3 linked regions of the Coturnix japonica genome follow. The protein of the gene in region 3 interacts with the protein of the main gene of each other region in a pairwise test. Links are inferred from orthologs where the notes say so. Each region holds a gene or a part of one and is shown on either strand. Other genes may lie near its edges.

Region 1 (4,242 bases), on a different chromosome or scaffold from region 3:
AGTGTTATGTGTGTGGATGTCCCTGTGCATGGGTTCTCCCTGGATGGCTGTCCCTGTGCACATATGTTTGTGTGTGTGTTCACGTGTGTGCACATCCATGTCTCATGGCCCCGCTGCACCAGGGTGATGCTGGGAGCCCCATGGCCATGCACATTTGGGCCTCTGATGCCCAAGGATGGCACTGGGAGGAGCAGAGACAGGTAACCCCTCCAGGCTATTGCCTGTCCCCTCTCTGTGGCACCTGGAGGGTGCATTCAAGGAGCACTGTGCACTCTGGGAGGCAGCTGAGTGACTCCCAGGGCCATGGTTGGATAATAAACTGTGTGTGTTTCCGTGTGACACAGCGCTCCATGCTCTGTCCCCATGGGGGCTGGTGACCGTCCTGCCCAGTTCTGCCACTCGCAGCCCCTCTGAGGCCACGGGGAGGACGCTGAACTTGAGTCCCTGGCTATTTTTAGGTGCCTGCAATGACACCTTGGAGATGGAAAGAGAGACAAAGTGTCCCTGAGTGACACCCAGACATGGTCACTTTGACCCTGCTGCCACCGCTTTGCAGTGCTGGGTGTGGGGACACTCAATGGTTCCCACCCAATCCCCAAATCCAACGGACTGAAATTGGGCAGAAGAAATTGGGGCTGACTCCCACATGCTCTACCCTCACCCCTTCCCATAAATACGCCCCCCAGAAGTGACAGCCACCCCCTGTGTCTGACCCCAGGTTGGGGACACTTTGGCCCACGGGACCCCCAGAGCTGTCACAACGTGGCACAGCTGGCGGAGTTGGGAGGGGTGGGAGGAGGCTCATCCCTGTGCCAGGGCTGTGTGCCCACTGGGGCAGGGGACACCAGATTCCACTGCCACCACAATCCCCTGGCACGCTGCAACCTGAGCCTGAAGGAGGTGGGGATCATGTCCTGGATACCACCAACCCTATGGGAACACGCACCCGTGGGGTGAAAGGGGGGTACAGCACCCATAGGACCCATGAGGCTTCAAGCCTGAACCCAGCAGGGCCAGGAGCCCAGGGCAGCTGTTGGGATGGGGCTGATTTAAGGGGATCCCAAAGGTGTTAAAATGAAATCACCAACGATGGGAGGGATAGGATGGGAGGGACGGGGATGTGGCCGTCTTTGCCCTCAGCACCCCCAGCACACACACACACACACACACTGTCCCTCGTGTCCCCACGGATGCTCCCGTGCCTCAGTTTCGCCCTCTCCATCCACTCCTCGCTATGAGCACACGGTCACCGGCACCTCACATCCTCACCTCCACGCACCCACGCGTGTCCGCGACCGCAACGGAGCTGCGCACAGCGCCCGGGCAGGGGACGGGGGTGGAGGGGGCGGCCGGGGGGCGGCGGTTGGCAGCTCTGCCCGTCCCCGCCGGGGTATTTCTGGAGTCTCTTCCCATCATGTGATGGGGCCGGTATTTAAGGAGCCGCGGGGCCGGGCGGCAGCTGTGGGTTGTGCAGCGCTGCGGGGACAGAAGGACACGGGGATACACGCGGCTTCGCCATGGTGGACGCGTTCGTGGGCACCTGGAAGCTGGTAGATACGGCGAATTTCGATGAGTACATGAAGGCGTTGGGTGAGTGGCGGATCGGGAGGGCGGAAATCCACGGGTTTTATTCCTCCTTTTTCTTTCTTTCTTTTTTTTTAATGGGGAGGGTGGGGATCGTCGGCTGCTGAATGGGTTTAAAAGGGGAAAATCAAAATAGGAAGAATAAAATATAGGAATAAACATAGGAAAACGCAACGCGGTGCTGTGCTGGGGAGGGGCTGCTGGCGGGGTTGGGGGTGGGGGGGATCGGGTGGAATCCCCCCCCTTCCCCCTGCAACCCCGGTGTGTGGGGGAAGGGCTGATAGAAGGGATTCCAGGGGGATGCGTGCCCCCATCTGCTGTCCTGAATCCTCCATCCCTGGGCAGAATGAGACCGCAGCCCCGAAGGGGTCTGGAGGGTGGTGGCCACAGGTGTTTTCCATTCTTGCCCAGCCATAAATGTGCAGGATCAGCCCCTGAGTGATGCCCGGATTCCCCAAAAAATACAACCCCATGGGGATGCAGTGGGTCCCCCCTCCCGAAAAATAACCCAGGAGGGTCTCTGGGGTGATGCATGGGGATGCAGTGTTGACCCCCTGTCTCCCACCAGGGGTGGGCTTTGCCACCAGGCAGATGGCCGGCCTGACCAAACCCACCACCATCATCGAGGTGGATGGTGACAAGGTGACGCTGAAGACCCAGAGCACCTTCAAGAACACAGAGATCAGCTTCAAGCTGAACGAGGAGTTCGATGAGACCACGGCTGATGACAGACATGTCAAGGTGAGGGAGCTGGGGGAATCCTTCCCTCCACCCTTTTCCCTTTGCACCCCTTGCCTCCATTTGCAACTGGGTTTTGCAGAAGGTGATGCTGTAACCAAGTGGCTGTATTGCAAAAGAGATTCGGGGGCCACCACGAGGCTTGTAGAGCACAAAACTCCTTCCTGCCCCATGGGGAAGCAGGCACAGGGCTGGGTGTGGTGTGAGGTTGGGCTGAAACGGGTTGAGTGTGAGCAAGGCAGTAGTGCCAGGCAGACATTGCAGCATACTTCTGTCTTCATCCTCTGCTCCATCTGGTGCCATTCCTCTTGCAGAGGAACCAGAGCAGCAATAGAGCACAGGTCTGGCCCCTGGAAGCTATTTCCATGCACAGCTTTGACTATAACCAGCTTGCCCACTTTGTCTCGTGACAGCTCAGCCCCAAGCGTAGGGCTGCTCTGCTCAGGGTGGTGGAAACTATGCTAAAAGCTCTTTGGCTGCTAGTGTGTGAAGCAGCCAGGGACATGCCCTTCAGGCACCCCTCGGCTGGCTGCCAGAGGGCAAACAATAAAAGGGGGCCCGGCCTGTCAGCCCCCCACACAGTCAAGCTGGGAGATGTGGAGCTGCTGGGCTGTGGGGTGCTCCAAGGTGAGGAGCCACCAAACTGGGGGGGACCCAGGATGTATGGGGTGCAGGGAGAGGAGAACTTGAGCTCTGAAGGGAGCTGAGCTGCAGGGCACCCAAGCCATGGGGACACACAAAGCATTAGGACATCTGTGCTATAGGGACACCAAGTCATTGGGAGACCTGAACCATGAGGGTACCCAAGCTATGGGGACATACAAGTAGTGGGGAGAGCTGAGCTTTGGGGGCATCCAACCATGGGTAACCTAAGCCATGAGATCAATGCAGAGCCCCTACCCATGAGGGAACCAAGTGGGTTGCAGGGACCCACATCAAGGTGAGACCCAAGCCATGGAAACATCCAACTGTGGGGTGACTCAAGCAACGGGGTGACCTGAGGACATGAAGGGAGTCCTAAGCTATGGGGACATCCAACCATTGGGAGATTCAAACTATGAGAAGACCCAAACAATGGAGAATCTTAAGCCATGCAGAGCCCTGACCCATGGAGACACCAAAGCCATGGGCAGGATAGACTCAAGCCATGTCAGGGAGATGCAGTATAACCTGCACAGTGCTGGGGACCTGAGCCATGGGAAGCCCAGCCCTTGGGTGTCTGTGCTCCAGGAGAGCAGCAGTACTGGGTGCACAGGGAGGTTTGCAAGGGACCAGAGGCTGGGACAGCTGGGGGCATGTGGTCCCCTGGGCTGGAGCTGAGAAATGTCACTGGGAGGCAAAGAACTGGGTGCCAAGCAGTGGGAAGATAGCAAAAGAGAGCTGGGCAGCCATTGCCACTTCCCACGCTGGCACAGCCCAGCCTGCTGTCACGCTAACCTTGGCACTGCCCAGGCTCTCAGGGCTGAGTCAACAGCAGCGGCTGTGCAAACAGCAGCCTGGATGAGCAGGGGCTTGTTCAACAGCTCAGCTCAGGATGCAGCTGTGGGGCAGGGAGGGCAGGGTCACCGTGACAGTGGGCCCTGATGCCAACAGGCTCAACTTGGGCTACAATTGTGACACAGCTGGTGTCCTGGGTGAGTAGAGCCAGGTGGGATGCTGGCACCCAGTGATCCTGGAGGCAACCAATGCTGGTCTCCGGACCCAATGGGATGAAAAGGAGCATCCAAAGCTGCAAGGATGGAGCAGCAAAGCTCCAGCCATGAGGGGAACGGTGGTTCTGCTCTCTCTCCACAGTCCTTGGTCAAGCTAGATGGAGGCAAGCTGGTCCACGTGCAGAAGTGGGATGGGAAGGAGACATCGCTAGTGCGGGAGCTGAAGGATGGGAAGTTGATTCTGGTAAGGAAATATAAAGGATTTTAG
Region 2 (3,515 bases), on a different chromosome or scaffold from region 3:
TGACAATACAGGGTAGATGCATTTGATAAGGTACTAGCTTTCTGCACAGACTGCAGGGAGGGAGAAGACCATTTTGAAGGATTCTAGCCAGCACCCATTAAGGTTACAACACCAATACTGCACTGAGAGAATCCACAAATCACAAGAATACTATTTCTACTGGCCCTACAGGGAGTAGGAAAGCTGAGCTGGGGCCCATGTTTGCCTTCTCTACCTTTTCTCTTCAGAGAAATCTGGAGGATGCAACATGCGACACCACAGATAAACTGGCCTTGAAGATGTATCAGGTGGGAGGGATAATGGTAGGTTTGCCCACAAGCAGGGAACTGTTTCCCTCCAGCTAACAGTATGCCAGATGACTCCAAACCTCATGCAGACTTGTGACTAATTCCTCCTTTTCCCACGGTACAGGAATCTTACCTCATTTCCAGCAAAGAACAACTACCCCAGTCACAAAGGAAGACTTAAAAAAACAACAGGTTTTCTTACCTCTCTTTGCGGCCCCCTAGCTTGCGCGCTGTATATTGATCCCCATAGTCCACTAAGGAAAGATGACGGGAAAACACAGTAATTTTGTTGCCCACAAACAGATCATCAAGGTGTAAGCTCTCATACTTGGTGCGCTTCAGAAAGGTACGATGGTTCTTCACATCATACTGCAGACAAAAGAAGATTAGAACCTACTACAGCAAGAGATCTTAAGCTGTTGGCAAACTCCACGTAATTCTTACTTTCCCTTCAGAAATTTCCATAGCTCTGTGGGATTTAATCTGATCATTAAATTGATTTAATTCTTAACCCTGTGAACTTGCACGTGCACCAGGAATGCTTAGAGGATAAAACCACACATTTGTTCCAGTTAAATAGTCTCAGGGTGATGGCTGTCTTCACAGTTTTTATTACTTGCTTGTGCTAATTCCAACTATGATAGATGCTTCACATCCCTTGTGGATATCTCTACCCAGTCTCAATGAGAATCCCCCACCCCCTCCAGCAAGTCCATGTTGTTTCACAGGCCAATGGTTTGAAGCAGTAGTGATCATAATACACACTGTGGCAGGTCTCCTCTTCAGGGCACTGTTCCAGTGATATTATGCTTTATTTGACTGCTTAAAACTCTGAATTAAGGATGGATGGATGGCTGCAGCACTACGTTGAGAAGTTCTCAACTGCCTAGAGCTGCAAGCTCAAAAGCCTGTCAAGACGATTCAGCTATGTATGGACATTCTGAGCAAGAAGGAAGACATTAATGTGAGATTTTCTGGGTGGATTGCTAAAGCACAAAAGACAACCTCACAAACAGTTTCTTCCCTGCTACAAGTAAATATTACAGATCCCTTCAATTTCTTGGAGAAACAATCTTAGAAAAGTTTTGTCCTCTTCAGGCTAAACTTTTTTTTTTATTTGATACTTTCTAAGCAGGATTCCATAATAAAATCATCCTTAGCTCTCACCTACATGCTCCAGCTCAGTGCTCTTCAGTTTCAAGAAGAGTCCTATTAACTGAATCATAGTTATTAACTATGGAAAACTTGGATAGTTGGAGATGGCTCTGTCTAAGTACCCAGTCTGATCACAAATGGTTGCTTGCTGTCCCTGGACAAAAACCTGTGCTGCTTTCTAACGGATGCAAAGCAAGCAGGAAACTGGTTGCATTATTTCCACTGTATTTTTCCTTCACGGGAAGGAGCAAGAAAGAAATGGGAAGTTGAGAACTTCACATAACATCAATGTCCAACAGCTCTATTCCACTTTCAGCTGAAGCATGTACAAAGGAAAGTTATCACTGCAGAGGTGAGAGAAAGGTGATGCAACTGCTCTCTCATAAGCAGAGAGAAGCCGGCTCTCGTCCATTACCTTTCTTCTCTGACAATGTACTAGAGGTAAAGTGAGCAGCTGCCATCTCCTCGGGAAGATACAAAAGATCCAGAAGAATTTTGCAGTAATGAAGAAGAAAAAAAAATGCCAAACTCCAAATAAGTTTTCAAAACCATAAATAAATCCAGAAGATAATCTCAAATGTAATTTCTGTCTACAATTCACCTCCAAACTGATCTTGTAGAATTCCTTCTGCAGAGATTCTACATGCATTTTTGCTTTTTTAGCAGTTATATTGATCACACGCAGTCCATGCAAACTCATGACTGCATACACACACTACCTCAACCCTGAGAACACAACTGACTAAATATAAGAACCTACCAAGTTGCAGATGTTTGATGCATAAAGCTCTAAGACAGCCAAAAGCACCTTGAAAGCTCTTGGTTTTGAGACATCCAGGAGAAATGAACAACAATTTTGTCAGCCTACACATGGCTGTGTAGGAAGATTATTACGGCTTCTGACTGATTAGCTTAACTGTGTCTAAGAAAAAAAAATCCTCACGTTTTGACAACTGTGCACACATATCATACAAATAACTAACTTAAAAGGGACAACATCATGGTGGAGTTTGTTTAAAGAGACTATCAGTAAAAAGTGCAAAGTGCATCTCCTCACACAGATGGGTACCGTGGTTTCAGTAAGCAATAGTTTGGATAAGAAAAGTAAGAAAAGGTAGATTCTGATAGTTCTGTTGTTTCTGTGTTTGATGTGTAAGGCAAGAAAGTTTAAGAACTATACTGAAATTAATAGATGTGAATACACAAATTTAGGCTATTCTTAGACCTTCATATGCTCATTAAAATCTAGAAAAGACTAGTAAAAGAATAAATAATCATTAATTCATTCAAAAGGGGAGCACAAAGCATTGGCTATTTTGTTGGATTACCTGTACAGGATTATCTGTACTATATGCTTGTTTTATCTTCATTTTTTTTTTATTGTTAGAAGGCTTAGTTAAATGTACCATAAAATCAGAAAGGTCCATACAAGCACCAATAAGGGGAAAAATTTGTATTCCATTCTCAGAAACATCCTTTCATGCATTAAAACCAAATTAGTTTACCGTTTCCTTCACTTTGATAGAAGTTGTTTACAGTTAATGCTTCAGAGGCTTCTAGAATTCTAACTGAAGCCTACTCTTGTTAGGAATCACCTTCAATTTGTTCCTGCAGTAGGTTGATGGTGCTGAGTTCCAATACTTAAATCCAAGAAAAGATTAAATAAAAACAGATCTGTGAAAATGAAATGCTCCAAGCTTAAGATAAAACTCGTTAACATGGCAGCTCTTGCATGTGCTCCACTATGAACTAGCACATTTGTTTTTCTTCTAGTTTGAAAAACAGACTTATGTCTTAAACTACAACTTAATTACCTGGAAAAACAAATGGCAGTGGTCCATTTTATAAATAGCTTAATTGAGTAATATATTTAAAATTACAGACTTTTTTATTCTTACCATTTCAACTGAGCTATCTTTTGGATAATACAGAAGCTCGTAACGCCGAAAGAGTGAAGCATTCGGGTCATACCATTCAGCAGTGAAAGCAAATCTGTCATCTTGACTCTGCAAAAACAAAAGGGAAGGCTACTGAAGTAATCATACACTTAATAAACTGTACCATTTCCTTGCA
Region 3 (3,974 bases):
GGTGTGCTATGGGCACTTGCCAAGGAAGGAGATGGAAAAGCTTTGCCTTTGCCAGTGCTTAAAGAATGAATCTGAAGACTGCTGCGGTTCAATGGACCGCTACTGTGAGCAGCTCCAGTGTGACTGACAGGAGGTTTTTAAAAGTGAGCTCAACTTCAGATTTATCCTAGCACTGTCCATTATGAATCACGAGACTCACAGCATTTGGTTAGTTAGCAACAAAGACAGCAATTTTATTTCAAACTTTTCACTTTTTAAAGTTTCTAAAGTTCAGCAAAAAAATAAATAAATAAATAAATAAATAGGGTAGAAACAAACTCTGCAGTGACTGTGTGCATTCAGGGCCAGGATCCAGAGGAGCTTGGTAGGGTCACTGCTTTAGCACAGGGATAGAATCAGAGAGAGAGCTCTGGTCTGCTGTGATAGGACAACAGGAAATGGTTTCAAACTGAGAGAGGGGAGATTTAGACTGGATATAAGGAAGAAGAGACTGGATGTAAGGAAGAAGTTTATTACAATAAGGCCAGTGAAGCACTGGCACAAGTTGCCCAGAAAGGTGGTGGATGCCCCATCCCTGGAGACACCCATCAGGCTGGATGGGGCTCTTAGCACCTGATGGAGCTGTAGGTGTCCCCATTCATTGCAAGGAGTTAGACCAGACAGTCAAATGCTTCTGTGATTCTATGCTCATGGCCAGATCCTCTCCTTCCCCCCTCTGGGGTTGCTGGCAAGAACAAATGTGTTCTTCACAGACAAACAGAGCACGACCTCCACCAAAACCTGATATTATCCCAACTTTTAGTCTGCGTTGGACGCTGGAATCACCCCGCAGCTGCTTCAGGAATCTTTGGGAATGCTGCTCTCCGTACAAGCGCTCATTAAAGTCCCCTTTCTCTGCCCAGGAGCTCTTCCCTCCTGTACCAGCCGGGACAAGGCGAACATGACGAGAAGGCAGTTTTCATCTGCTCACAGACCCCTCGCATAGCAGCACACCCAGCACACCCAGCACACCGCCTGCCTCCTTCGCACCCCTCCGGATCCCGCTCCCTCCCCGCCGCCCCGGGGGTCGCTCCGTGCCGTCATTACGGTCCTCACGGCCGCCCCCCATCACGGAGGTGCCCGCTCACAGCCCGGGGCTCGGCTCCGCCGCACCCCGCACATGCTCACTGTGGTGCCGGGGGAGTCTGGGCATGTGCAGAGCGGAGCGGGCCGGGCCGTTCGCCGCGCCCAACGCGCCCCGGGGCTACGAGAACCGCCCGAACCGTGCCAGGTGCGGCCGGGAGAGGTGAGATAGAGCGGGGCAGGATGAACAGCTCGGATGAGGAGAAGCAGCTGGAGCTGCTGGCCGGCGTGAAGGACACAGGTAGGGGCGGGCGGCGGCTCTGGGCGGACCGGCTGTCCCTGCTTCCTTCCCTCGGCTGCTGCGGAGCTCGGAGCGCGGCCGCAGGGAGGGGTTGAAGCGGGGGCTGTGCGGGGCCGGGGCGCGGCCTGCGGCGTGGGGATGGCGGTGCGGCCTGGGCGGCCACGCTCGATTCCAGGCCCCTTTTGGGGGAAAAAAGCCTCGGATACGGGCCTGTCTGCACCTGCCGGATTTGTGTGCTGTCAGGGTGGGCATCGAGTGAGTGATGGCGTGGGGCTGGCACGTGTCTGGGTGCTGCTGCCTCGCGTGTAGTCTGGGTGTCAGTCTGGGCTTCCACGGTGTCGGTCCGTCCTCTCCCCTTTGGAAGTGGAACTGGGCAGGAGTGCTGAGGGATGGAGAAGTGAAAACGTGTCTGTGATGGGCTTCCTGCAGAGAAACTCTGTGTCTGTGGTACCTGTCAGGAGGTGTTAAACCAGCCCATGAAACGTCCTCTGCTCCTCTCCTAATCAGCACATGAACTTCTTGGTGATAGAACCCAGGGCTAGTCCTGATATGCCACGAGTTTCTATGGAGCCTTTGTAGTTCCAATGTAAATGAATGGAGGGCTCGTTGGGTTCCCTGTGTGAGTCACTGCTCAGTGCTTTTGTAGGGAAATTCAGTGCTTTGGCCTTATGAACACTCAGGTTCTAAAATATTGGAACACACTGTGTTGTTGGGAAGAATGGGCAAGGAAAGAAGTTGGATACTCAAAAGGTAGCTGGTATTTTCACTAGTCAGTCTGCTTCCAAACCAGACTGGTCTAGAAAAGTTTCTGTCTTGCCTGGTTAAGCAGGTGGCAGTCATTGGGCTTAGTTATCACTCATCTGAGTCGTGAATGTTTTCTTTTTGGTTGTCCCAGCTGGATTCTGACTTGTAAGGATTACAGTTGTTGTGAAGTGTATCATAGTACATAACTATGAGTTTTAATAGCGCGGGACCAAAAAATAAGGCTAAAAAGCTGTTCCCAGTTGGTTGCTTCCTTCTAGTGCTGTTGGCTTCTGAAGAGTTGTCTGTACCAAAATGATGGCTGCTAAAATGGCAATAGTTATTCTTCAGAAATCCCAACATCTTGAAATTGCTTTGAGTTTTCTCATTGACTTCAATACTGATGTCTGAAAGTCTTCTGCTCGGGTAGACTGAATGTCCTTTAATGTCTGAAGAAACTTTATGGGACTTCATGAGTTAGTTCAAAGGAGGGACGCTGTAACTTGAGTGCCCTAGATCCTCTTAAGCTGTTGAAATAGAAACTAACAGGCAGATCCTGCTGTTCTTGATAGATGTTCCCCAAATGTGGGAGTATTAGTAAGTTGTTGTGGGACTGACAGATGTTTTTCTAATTGTATGGCTGGCTGGGAAGCTGATCTTTATGGGAGAAGAATTATCCTGTGGAAAACTATTTGAAAATATTTACTTTTTGAGATTGCATTGTTTTAGATGGAAACCAGCACGTTATGCTACCATGCTGCAGTTCAATGGTGTTAACTGGCGGGGCTGAAGTGTCCTTAGTAAAGAGCCCAGAGAGGGTTGGAAAGAGGAAGAAAAAAAACCAAGTAATTTTCCTCCTTGCTGCTTCTAGGTATATAGATAAGAATATTACACTGAAAGTAAATGCAGGTGGTGGAATGACCTGCAGTTCCTGAAGGCTTTGAGATTCTGGGTGTATGTACTGTTCAGGAGTCCTGTGTTTATTGCATTCAAAGTGGTATATGGCTTCAGCTTACTGCGGTGTTATGGTCTGTTGTCAGATTTCTGGATTACATGCATTGATTTGAAGGACTTCAAACACGTTCTCTCGGTAGCCTGCACTCAGTGTGTTTTTCCAGTGTTGAGAAACATCCTGGGTGTGATGCCAGGTAGCTGTGCTGGCTGGGTAGGTGAAGAGGGCAGCAGTTGTGTACGTGGCTGATTGCAGTAACGTCCCGGTGCTGCTTTTACTTCCCTTCCCAAGGTCAGCAGATTGCACCTGAGGCAGGTATGGTGGCTGCTGTGCGATTCTCAGTGGCAGCTGTGACACTGACTGGTGTCTGGACAAATTCACTTGGCTGTTTGGCACAGCTCTGCGCAGCGACAAGGACACTGAAACTATCTGTGAGCATGATAGGCTTATCTTTCACCCATGCTGAATTTTCCAGGTCCTGTGGATTAGACCTGGATATTTGACACTGCTTGTTCTTCTTCTTGCTCTGTTGCCAAGTTTAAGGTGAATGTTGTGGAGAAACACGATCTCTGTATCAATGATATTTAAGCCTTACAAGTATTATTTTAATTTTCATTCTGTAAGTAGCTTTCTGAGATGGCTTGATTAGATAAAGCAGGTATGCTGTGAATATTAGCATTACCTAAAAACTCCTTTTTTTACCTATAAGTGGTGTTTTCAGCACCACTTTTTTTACCTGCCTAACAGCTGCATCGCAACCAGCATGGAAGTTTGCCATGTTTGTCTTTGACTTTATTGATGCTGCTGAAACTTTGCTCGTAAAGAAGCACCTTCAGCTGTGTCACGTCTTTGTTCAGCTGAAGACAGCAGTCATCAACCACAACATTGGGAGTTATATATTGTGTAAGTGCTTCACCT

The links. The genes of interacting proteins can lie anywhere in the genome.
Region 1: the proteins of SHTN1 (region 3) and FABP3 interact in binary tests that used the Homo sapiens proteins (3 or more experiments, as listed by UniProt). The two-hybrid records come from large-scale screens. The link is inferred for Coturnix japonica from reciprocal best matches to the Homo sapiens genes SHTN1 and FABP3.
Region 2: the proteins of SHTN1 (region 3) and NME7 interact in binary tests that used the Homo sapiens proteins (3 or more experiments, as listed by UniProt). The two-hybrid records come from large-scale screens. The link is inferred for Coturnix japonica from reciprocal best matches to the Homo sapiens genes SHTN1 and NME7.

Annotation. Positions count from the first base shown.
Region 1 is NC_029538.1:624,172-628,413, reverse strand, and holds the start of FABP3 (fatty acid-binding protein, heart), read left to right. Parts: upstream 1-1,432; 5' UTR 1,433-1,517; coding exon 1,518-1,590; intron 1,591-2,152; coding exon 2,153-2,325; intron 2,326-4,116; coding exon 4,117-4,218; intron 4,219-4,242. UniProt on the Homo sapiens protein: FABPs are thought to play a role in the intracellular transport of long-chain fatty acids and their acyl-CoA esters.
Region 2 is NC_029516.1:74,973,357-74,976,871, reverse strand, and holds part of NME7 (nucleoside diphosphate kinase 7), read right to left. Parts: intron 3,449-3,515; coding exon 3,341-3,448; intron 657-3,340; coding exon 490-656; intron 1-489. UniProt on the Homo sapiens protein: Possesses an intrinsic kinase activity. Displays 3'-5' exonuclease activity with a preference for single-stranded DNA. Does not seem to have nucleoside diphosphate kinase activity.
Region 3 is NC_029521.1:25,856,728-25,860,701, reverse strand, and holds the start of SHTN1 (shootin-1), read left to right. Parts: upstream 1-1,162; 5' UTR 1,163-1,305; coding exon 1,306-1,363; intron 1,364-3,974. UniProt on the Homo sapiens protein: Involved in the generation of internal asymmetric signals required for neuronal polarization and neurite outgrowth.